3 linked regions of the Mus musculus genome follow. The protein of the gene in region 2 interacts with the protein of the main gene of each other region in a pairwise test. Links are inferred from orthologs where the notes say so. Each region holds a gene or a part of one and is shown on either strand. Other genes may lie near its edges.

Region 1 (3,655 bases), on a different chromosome or scaffold from region 2:
AGAGCCAATCCAAGGTGCCAGCCCAGGGTAAGCCACCATTGTAGACTCTTACTAGCTGACCAGGGCTAGGCACTCCATTGTCTATTCCAAATAAACCAATATAACAAGCCATCACTGTATGGACATACAAGTCTTTTAAAGCTTTATCCTTTGCAATTTCCTCTAGAACACGTGACTTCTCTTCCGAGTGAAAGCATTCTAATTGCCTTAAAACAAATTGGTACCAGTCTTCTGGAAACAAGGCGCTCATCTCTAGGATCTTGGAACGGGGTGTGGAGTTAGACCTCCATTCCTCAGGTAAACTTAGCAAGCGAGACTGGGAACAACTAAACTCCACGAGAGGAATATATGCCACATCTTCTCGCTGTCCCTTGTCAACAGCAGGGAGTCCCAATATAACCGTCCTGTAAAGATCATTTTTGGGACCTGTGCCTGCAGAATGGTCATCTGGATTCTGAGAATCTACGGACCCTGGAATAGGTAACTTTGTACAAGGTAGATCTTTGGACTGAAGTTTTTCTTTTCTGTTTTTGATAGCTGGTTCATCATCAAAAATACTACCATCAGACCAGTCTGAATTTGCACTTTCAGAGTCTTCCAGGGACTCGGGGCATGGTGAGCTGTTCGCAGCCGGTGGCAGTGCTGGTGAGGCTTCTCCCGTATTTTCAGTTTTATTCTCCTGCGTGCTGGGCCTTTTAGAGCAGTGCTGAATAAGCACCCACACAAGTACCTTAATAAGATCATCTTTAAATTCCTTCAGGTTGTCAGGAGAATCAATTATGCCAGTCAGCACATTCCTGGCATCAGAATACAGTTTCACAGGCAAAACTGTACATGGCGTCAAGACATTCTCCAGGTGCTCATTAAGGGAGCACACTTGTGGGTGTTCTCGCTGAAAAGCACTTTCAAACACTTCATCAACTCTCTGGGCTTCAGCAGTGTGGCAGGATGTTTCCTGCAGTTCTAACCCCTAAGAGGAAAGAGAAACACTTGGGTTCACAAACATCTCTTACCCAGGGAACAGAAACCAGTCTCACGAGTGCCGTGGAAAATCATCACACAGATACAGAAAAAGACAACACAAACTCTAAGTCAAGAGCAGCTGCCACTTTAGGCCTCACGTCACCTAACACATTTGATGTTGGATAAAGAGAGTAAAAGGAAGGCTAATACAATTTTAAAAGAAATCATAGAAAATCCCACCAGAAGCTGGTTAAGACTTACTGTGCCATACTTTCATAAGATGATCTGCTGTTAATGATGAATCACACATTAAAAACTCTTAAGTCAGACTTGTGTGGGAGGAGGGGTAGCAAAATCAGAACTGTTAAGTGTGTTGCAATATTTCTGCATCCTTTTCATTCTACTTTATATGAGACCAAGAGAATCATTCTAGTGTATGGAAGTATCATAATTTATCAAATCATATTCCTACATTTATTTGATTACTGTCTGTCTCTACTAACTGCAACATAAGTTTCAGAAAGCACTATCTTTGGTCATGACTATATTCCCATGTCTAAGCCAGAGGAGATGCACAGGTAGGTGTTGAGTGACTGAGTATGCTCCTGTATCAGTTTTAGACACATGCTGACACGGTTCCACAGGCAAACCGGATGTGGCATCAAGACATTCCCCAGGTGCTCATTAAGGGAACTTGTCCCCAGTCTAGCTGTGCTGACAATTTCACTAGTAGTGAAGCAGTTCACTCTTCACTATCAGAGTTGGTAACTTACTTACATATAGCACAAAACCACTGGTGCCTTCCTGATCCACTTTAAGTGACTGCTCCACCACATGCCACACACACCCTCCACAGATCTCCTGTCTCCTCTGAGGTTCCTCTTATTTCACAGGAAAGATGACATCTAGAAGCTGAGTAAGGACAGAGTGCTCAACCCCCTGTGGGCATCTATGTACACCCACTTCTTTCGTAGCTTAGAGGGCATCAGCAAGAGAGACCAAAAGACTTCATGAGCCCGAGGCTAAGCAGGGCTGCTGCAAAACAGTGTCTTCTGGCCCCGATGGAGCTGCTGCGCTCAGGAAGCCACAGAGGCTGAAGTCGCCTGCACAAGCAGCCAGCATCCTAGTGTGCACAGGAGAGGGGAGGCCTCCCTCATGATGCCCCATCCCTAGTGCAGGAGCTTTTGGTAACTGATGGCTGCCTGGGAGGGAGAAACAGCTTCTTTAAGGATGTGGCCCACATAATTTATCAAGGCTCCAGCAGACGGCCCTGCACGCATGCACACTGAGCACACAGGAAGCACTGATGGGACTCAGAGCTATAACAAAACCAAGATGTGCTTTTGGTTGGAGATCTTGATGGGGGCTGGGGTAGAGCCTGGAAGGAGATAGAGGGTAAAGTGGGTGTGGTTTGACCTAACTACATTGTCTGCATTATGACATTACTCAGAGTTACAAAAAAATTTAGTAAATATGTTTATGAAGATTGAAATTTTAAACTTCAAAGTAATACAAATGTTAGCAAGTCCTAAGTCAGCTTGGTCAAAATAAATAGATCAATCAATAAAGGTTACTTCTAAATAGTGTGAAAAACATGAGAGACCATTAAAAGAATTTATGTCACTGGGTAACAGTAAACTGTATGATTTTAAAATGTAGTAAAATTTTAAAAAATACTCATGGCAGCCTGCATGCTCCTTCTCAGACTATCTGAGCAAGCTTTGGGTGAGTTATGAGTAATGGTATTTCACAGCAACCACCGGAGCAACCCTTAGGTTCTGATTTGGAAGGTCCAAAATCAGAAGGTCAGGCATTTCCACTTGCAGTTAATCCAAGCAGACGGAGGACTGAATTTTGAGAGTCACGGTCATAAAGGGACAGCACTTGGTCACTAGCACTTCCATGCAGTCTCCGTGAAGATGAAGGATGTACCTATTTACTATGGACTTGGGACGTTTTACTAAAGGTCCGCTCTGTGTTGAACACTATTAACGGGCTTTAGGTCACATTCTTGGATAAAAGCAGAGCTACGTTCCCTGTGACATTACATTAGTGAAGGACACACACAAAAAGCATTGTCGGCAAGGCAAGTGCTGCTGGGATGGGAGTGGGTGTAGCTTTAAACAATGGCTATAATGCCTGGAAAGAAAACACTTGAAGGTGATAAGCCACAGGATTGACTACCTGAAGGGAAAGGAAACAGCCAGTGGGCTAGAACAGGGGTTAAAGTAGCACAGAAGGTTCAAGAAGTAGCAGTAAGCCTTGGCTCTAAATGAAAGAAATCCACTCCCAATGTTGCTCCCCTTTAACACAGTTCCTCATGTTGTGGTGACCCCCAGGCATAAAACTATTTTCATTGCTACTTCATAAATGTCATTTTGTTACTGCTATGAACTGAAATGTAAATATATGATATGCAGGATATCTTTCACAGGATCCATGCGAAAGGGTTCAATTCTCCAAATTGGTCACAACCCACAGATTGAAAAACATCACACTATGGGGTTTTCAATAGGGTAGTGACATGACCTAACCTTATTTTTAAGATCATTTTGCTTATAATAGATTAAGAGGCTACTAAAATGATCTGGATAAAGGATGAAGACGAGTGGGGGTCAGAGGTAATGGAACAGACACAGTTACTGGACTAAGGGGTCTATAATGACTTTTGATCCAAGCAACCAGAATGACA
Region 2 (3,655 bases):
CAACCCCACTGTTCTTAAGCAATCTATTTGTGACAATGGTTTCCTTGAAGCTCCAAAACTACATTAAGAAAAGAAAAAAGAAAAAGAAAAGCCAGACAAAGGATGTTCTCGGGTTTTTTTGTTTTTTTTTTTTTCCCTAAAACAAGCATGGAGTATAAAACTCTAATAGCTGCATAGATGAATCCAAATACATGACTCAAAGTGCGTGAAGCTGTTTTTGAATCTTCTTCAATGTTAAAAATATGAAAGAGTTTTTTTCAGTTTTTTCTCATAACATTTACCCAGACTCTCGGATTTTCTGCTGTCCCACATATCAATTAAATGCAATTAGTCAAGCTTAACTGGATTCTGCCTCAAACAGCCACTGTGAAAGAGTAGTTTTTAGACAACTGGATAAAACTGCAGACTGAATACTAAGTTATATTACTATTATTTATCCTATTGATGTTACCCTATCATATTATAGGGATTTTAAGTCCTTGCCTGTTCAAAAATGAGTTGATGCCATGATTTGCTTTGTAACATTTTAATAGCAAAAAATAAAGAGTAAAAGTGTACCCAGTTTTAGCTTTCCAAGATGAAAGAAGTGGGCTGGATAAGAACGCCATAGGCTACTCTTCCAGAGTTCAATTCCCAGCATTCACCCTGTACCTCACACTGATCTATGCCTCCAGTCCAGAATCAATGCCCTGTTCGGGCACTGTGGCACTGTGTAACAGTGGTCACATATATACATCAAGGAAAAATACCAATACAAAGAAAATCAATCTTTTATTTTTTTAATGCCATGTCCCTCTTTAAAACAAAAAAGGAAGAAGTCTCAAAGAACAGCTGCACAAAACAATGTGCACATGTTGTCAACACTACTGCGCTCAGAAAGCCAGTCAGGGTGGCACAAGATTTAGCTCACTGGTACAGTATTCGCCAAGAATAAGTGAAGCCATGGGTTCAATACCACACGAAAAGAAGATGAGGTATAATTTCTGTTATGAATTTCTAATGCTCATTTACATACAAGATTGGCAAGATGATGACAATCATTAACACTAAGTAATGGGCACACAGAGATTTAATAAGTGTTTAGTAAAGATAACAACACAGCATTGATGGACACAAACTGAGTTAAAGGAAGCTTTCATTCTTGGTTAGTTTGCCAAGGAAAAAGAGAAAGACATTTATACCTAATACTTTTAACTAATCAGATAACTTTATGTTAAATAAAACTATGAGAAGGATTATTCAAATACCCTTAGTGGGCACAACAGATGTCAGTTCTTTCAAGGTATCTTATTCTATCTCTAGTTGACTGCCTGGTAAATAACAACTCCACTTTTACTAACAGTGAAGTTTGCATTATATGGAATTAACCACAATAGTAAATTGATAGCAGTGACTTAAAGATAATAGTCAATAAACATGAATAAAATGAGGATTGAATAAACAAAAACTCACCGGGCAGTGGTGGTGCACGCCTTTAATCCCAGCACTTGGGAGGCAGAGGCAGGCGGATTTCTGAGTTGGAGGCCAGCCTGGTCTACAAAGTGAGTTCCAGGACAGTCAGGGCTACACAGAGAAACCCTGTCTCGAAAAACCAAAAGGAAAGAAAGAAAGAAAGAGAGAGAGAGAGAGAGAAAGAAAAGAGAGAAAGAAAGAGAGAAAAAAGAAAGAAAAAACTGAAGTGTTTTAGAGTGTTTTAGATGCTGAAGAGGCTAAGCCACAAGTAGAGGAAGGCAGGCTTACCACACAAAGACTACAGAGAGAATCCAAGTAAGACAGAAAGAGCATGGCAGTAAGTCCGATTCGGTCAATAGCCATGCATCGGACAGCTTAAGCCTACCTGGATTATCTCCGACTGTTCAGCCAGAGCCTTCCTCTGTGCTTCCAGAGAAGATACCTGTTGCTGATAAATCAGACGCTGCTTCTCCCAGTCCAGAGACTTCTGTCGGAATTCCTGGGGAGGCAAGTGAAGTACTTAACATCTAAGTGCTCCCAGGCTGTGAGGCTTGCACAGCGCCCTGCTCCCTGGGCGCCCTTCTCTCAGCAGGAGCCCCATTACTCACGCTGCAAAGGAGGACTGGATCCTGCTCACACTGTGCCTCTACATGTCTGTCTTTCTAAATGTAACACTTAGTGGTGAAGAGGAAGAAACGGCCATGACAGTGGGCTCAAGAGCATTATTGCAGATCTGCTGCCACCTATGGGCTGTTACCATTTTGTATTTTTAGAAAAGTGACGCTAAAATAATAATATTCCCTTTGCCATCTAAATTTCTAACATTCAGACCCAGAAACTGAATAGATTGGAACAGATTTCTAAACCAGTAACTCAGCAGCCTGATTCTCACTTCCTATCCTGCCAATAATAGTATCTTTGATAGTCAAAATTTTTTATTTCGTAGAATTGCAAAAGCTTGAATAATATGGAAAATATGCATCACATTTTATCAGGTACTTATAATCCAGAGTCAAATAATTCAAAAATAATAGGTAATCAACAGCAATTTCAAACTCTACGTCATGAAAATGGGCCCAACTTTTCTGAAAATAAAGCAACTCAAAGGGAAAGATCCTCAGCCTCCCCATCTTTGTCCGCCAGGGATCTCGAGCTCCAGAGCTCCTTAGCTAAGTGAGAAGTCAGCTTTCTGATAGTCCCTTCACTCACAGTCTGTCTGTCTATATGACATGTGCCAGCACTGACTCAGGAATAGCATTTAATAAGAATAAACTGAAACCCAGCCCCATTCAAGTGGAGGTGATAGACATGACATGCACACTGAATGAATGAATGAATGAATGAATGAATGAATGAGTAAGAACGTTCAATGAAATCAAACAACATAAACAGACTTTTGAAGGAATTCAACAAGGAAGCCAACAAGCATCTGCATGAAGTAAGAAGTCAATACAGGCTATGAATGAGGCATTCAATAGAGACAGAAATACTGAAAAAAATCAAATGGAAATTTTGTAAATAAAAATCTCATTGAGTCAACTAAAAGCTCAATGGAAAGCCTCTCCAAATAGAAAGCAGAGTTTCAGGGCCTAAAGACAAGGTATATGAATTAGAACATGAAGACAATGACAAAGGTAATAAGAAAATATGAAGGGAAATGACAAGATCCACAGGACATTGTTAAAAGGCCCAATCTAAGAGCTACTAAGATGACACGGTATGTGAACAATGCTTGGCATGTAAGCATATAGGCCAGCTCACTAGAGAATTCTAGGCATGGCAGCAGACATCTGAAATTCCAGTGCTGAGGAGGTAGTGACAGAAGAATCAGGGGCTGGAGAGATGGCTCAGTGGTTAATAACACTGACTGCTCTTCCAGATGTGCTAGAAGAGCAGTCAGTGTTATTCCACATCTGTAATGGAGTTGGATGCCCTCATCTGGTATGTCTGAAGAGAGTAACAGTGTACTCACATATATAAAATAAATAAATAAATCTTAACAAAACAAACAAACAAAGGATCAATCTATTTGTTACTTGCAAGAAACATACCTTACAGGTAAAGACAAATATTGCCTTAGAGGGAAAGAACAGATCATCCACTATGACCAAACACGTAACATTACAATGATACAAGGATGGTTCAACATACATATTAATGTTATCAAATTATGATATATACTATATATTAGCAAATATCATTT
Region 3 (3,655 bases), on a different chromosome or scaffold from region 2:
TTCAAATGTTATCCAGTGACATACTTCCCCAAGCAAGGTTGTACTTGCTAAACCTTCTAAACGGTGCTACCAACTAGGAACCAACTGTTCAAATACATAAGCCTATAGAGGGTGTTTCTCATTCAGATCTCCAGAGTATCACTAGATTCTTATTGTATCAAATATTTTAATTGTTAGATCACCAAATAAAGTTTTTTACAAACTCTTTGTTGATGAGTATTTGTAGTTTATTTGGATAAGCCACATATCATCGGTTCTATTACAGGTACCTTCCATTTTAGTATCTGCAATCGGAATGTCTTACACTTGAGGTCTCATGTAACCTGCAGCAGTTTCCTTTCTTAGATTAAGTGTAGTTACAGTTTTCTCTACAGATCTGGATAAAGACAAGTACTCATGGAAAATACTGGTTTTAGTTATCTCATTAACTTTTTTTGTGTGGTACCAGGAATTAAACTCAGTGTTTAGAATGCTGGGCAAGTGTATCACATTTAAGTCTCACACCGAGGGCTTAAGTTTTAAGTTTTATGTGTATGTGTCCTATGTAACTCTACACACACACACACACACACACACACACACACACACACACACACACACACACACACACGTATGTATGTATGTGTTTGTGTTTATCATGACAAATTATAGGGGTCAGAGGACAGCATGTGGGGAGTTAGTTCTCTGCCTACCACATGGGTCCCAGGGATTGAGTTCTGGTTGTCAAGCATGGTCTTTACCTGCTGAGCCATCTCTCGGGCCTTCAAGTTTTAAATAAATGCTTAAAGTCTAGTTTAAAAATTAGAATACATCTGGTTTTAACTTTTCTTTCTTTCTTCCTTTCTTTTTCTCTTTTTCCTTCTTTCTCTCTCTCTCTCTCTCTCTCCCTCTCTCTCTCGCCCTCTCTCTCTCTCTCTCTCTCTCTCTCTCAGGTGGAAGACGAAACTGTTTTACATAACATTCCTTATATGGGGGATGAAGTTCTGGATCAGGATGGCACTTTCATTGAAGAACTAATAAAAAATTATGATGGAAAAGTGCATGGTGACAGAGGTGAGCTATGTGTATATTCTCTTTAGTTGAGGGTCTGAGGGTTTTCTTGTTGCCATGACAGTGGCAGCTCTTAAAAAGGAAAGCATTTGATTGGGGCTTGCTAACTGTTGAGATGTTTATTTAGTCCAGCCGGGCGGTGTTGGCGCACGCCTTTAATCCCAGCACTCAGGAGGCAGAGGCAGGCGGATTTCTGAATTCAAGGCCAGCCTGGTCTACAAAGTGAGTTCCAGGACAGCCAGGGCTATACAGAGAAACCCTGTCTTGAAAAAACAAAAACAAAACAAAACAAAAAAAACCAAAAAAACCCCCCCCAAAAAAGTTTAGTCCATTATCATCGTGGCAGTAAGCGTGGTGGCCCGCAGGCAAGTATGGTGCTGGAGAAGGAGCCTAGAGTTCTATATCTGGATGGCAGACAGCAGGAAGAGAGAGTTACACTTAATCAATAAAAATTTTCTGGGGTGTCGCTGTGCCCCCCTTTAATCCTTAATATCTATTGGAGGTTTCTGCCTCATTTTTGTTCATGTAATTCCCAAGTAATTGACACAGAAACAGTTCATATTTATTTACAGGCTGTAATCCTATATTTGGCAGATTCTGAGCTCTTCTATATACAAACGACAGGCCCCGTGTACTTTAGTTTGCATTTTACTCAACTTGCTCTGTACCATGTGTGTCCTCAGGACCAGCTTCTCTCTCATCTTTTCCTTCTTCCTCCGGGTCTCTCTAGAAATCTTTCTTGGTTATAAGTCCTACCTTTTCTATGCCCAGTCATAAACCCAGCCATTTATTGATCAATCAGTTATTATTGGGGAGTATTCTTTGCAGTACCTGTGTTACTGCAATGCCCCAAGATCAGGTTGTAGTCTGGACCAGGGCATAGAACTCAGGTTCTGAATCCACAGGTCACAAGGCTAACCCCAACAGCCACTGGGTCTGGCTTAAGCACCTAAGACCTCAAAGCCTGCCTCCACTGACACACTTCCTTTAGCAAGGCTACACCTACCCCAACGCTACCACACTTCCTAATCATGCCACTCCCTGTGGGCCCATAACATCATTTTCATTCAGACTGTCATAGAAGGGTTTCTTAATAGAGTTCATAAAAAATCTTAAGAGCTAGTCTGGGCTTAAAGGCATACATTTTTAGTATTTCTTTAGTTTTTCCATTTGAGGATCTTATTTGCCACTTGGTAATCATCAGTAACTGGTTATAAACTACAGCAGAAACAACACATAGATTTTATAGGAATAGAGTGTGTGTTTTTTGGTAAGCTTTCAATAGTAAAACTAAGTTTAAAGATCTGTTTATGGGGCATGTGCTTCAGAAAGGCTTTCTACTCAACAATGCCTTCCTCAGGGCAGCCAGAGCCCGTGAAATTAAGTTAACAGAATCCTGGATTCAGGTTTCTGAACAGGAGGCTCTCTTGATATCTGAGCAAACGGAGATGTGGTCATATCATAATGCAAAACAGGTTTGAAGTGGTCAGTCAGTGACACAGATTGGGAGGAAGCTAAAACTACAGGTCCTTATGGATTAAGGGAGTAATATACCCTGGATCAGCTGGAGAGGGTTGATTCCTGAGAAAGCAACAGATGTTGAAGGTAAATGCTGTTTTCTTTGCTGGCTGTGAAATTGATCTTGACTATCCTTACCTGCCCCTTAGGTTACAGTGCTGATAGGCCTTCACTATTCTTCCAGATTAGAAAACATATACATAATCTTGTCATTATCTTTTTCCCTCTGTTTCTGACATTTGGCTTTTAGAATGTGGATTTATAAATGATGAAATTTTTGTGGAGTTGGTAAATGCTCTTGGTCAATATAATGATGATGATGATGACGATGATGGAGATGATCCAGATGAAAGAGAAGAAAAACAGAAAGATCTAGAGGATAATCGAGATGGTATGTTTAATACTAGTTTTTTGTTTCAGCTTTATATAATTCTTTTAAAAAAAACCTATCAGGCTGGTAAGATGACTCGGTGGGTAAAGGTGCTTACCACCAAGCTTGATAAATCGAGTTTGATCCCTGGAGCCCACTCTATAGAAGAAAAGAACTGACTCTGCTGAGTTGCCCCTGATCTTCACATCAGTACACGGTGGCATACATACACCATCTAATTAATACATGTAAATAATGTAAAAGCCACCCATGTATGGGTATAATTAAACTACCCCCTTTTTGTTAAGTGTATGATCAAATATATTTTCTGCAGCATTTCATTCTCCACTAGAGCTTCTTTGTTTCCTTTGCCTAGGAAAAGGACATAATCCTTTTTTGCACTTTGCTGATCAATTATCATAATTATCTTTATAATAATATCATGTATCTTATATAAGTTGTATACTAATATACTTATATACCAGCTTATCCTTCCACAGCTTTACAATGTATATATTATTATCAGCTCCATTATATATTGGAAATGGGTTTAGGGAGGTTAAAGGCTAAGAAACTTAAGATAGCTATATTGGGAAAAAGTAGAATCTGAGCCCCAAGTTGATGACCTAGGTCTGACCTGAGAGCTGTGCTATTGTCTCTACACTTGTTAGTTGTTGCTAGAAAGCAGTCTACCCCAAATAGTAGAGAGTCCATAAT

The links. The genes of interacting proteins can lie anywhere in the genome.
Region 1: the proteins of Cep63 (region 2) and Pcnx4 interact in a two-hybrid assay, tested with the Homo sapiens proteins (2 studies listed by BioGRID and IntAct). The link is inferred for Mus musculus from reciprocal best matches to the Homo sapiens genes CEP63 and PCNX4.
Region 3: the proteins of Cep63 (region 2) and Ezh2 interact in binary tests that used the Homo sapiens proteins (3 or more experiments, as listed by UniProt). The two-hybrid records come from large-scale screens. The link is inferred for Mus musculus from reciprocal best matches to the Homo sapiens genes CEP63 and EZH2.

The regions. Positions count from the first base shown.
Region 1 is NC_000078.6:72,570,805-72,574,459, reverse strand, and holds part of Pcnx4 (pecanex-like protein 4), read right to left. Parts: intron 971-3,655; coding exon 1-970.
Region 2 is NC_000075.6:102,605,489-102,609,143, forward strand, and holds part of Cep63 (centrosomal protein of 63 kDa), read right to left. Parts: intron 1,952-3,655; coding exon 1,838-1,951; intron 1-1,837. UniProt on the Homo sapiens protein: Required for normal spindle assembly.
Region 3 is NC_000072.6:47,553,428-47,557,082, reverse strand, and holds part of Ezh2 (histone-lysine N-methyltransferase EZH2), read left to right. Parts: intron 1-932; coding exon 933-1,053; intron 1,054-2,818; coding exon 2,819-2,959; intron 2,960-3,655. UniProt on the Homo sapiens protein: Polycomb group (PcG) protein. Catalytic subunit of the PRC2/EED-EZH2 complex, which methylates 'Lys-9' (H3K9me) and 'Lys-27' (H3K27me) of histone H3, leading to transcriptional repression of the affected target gene.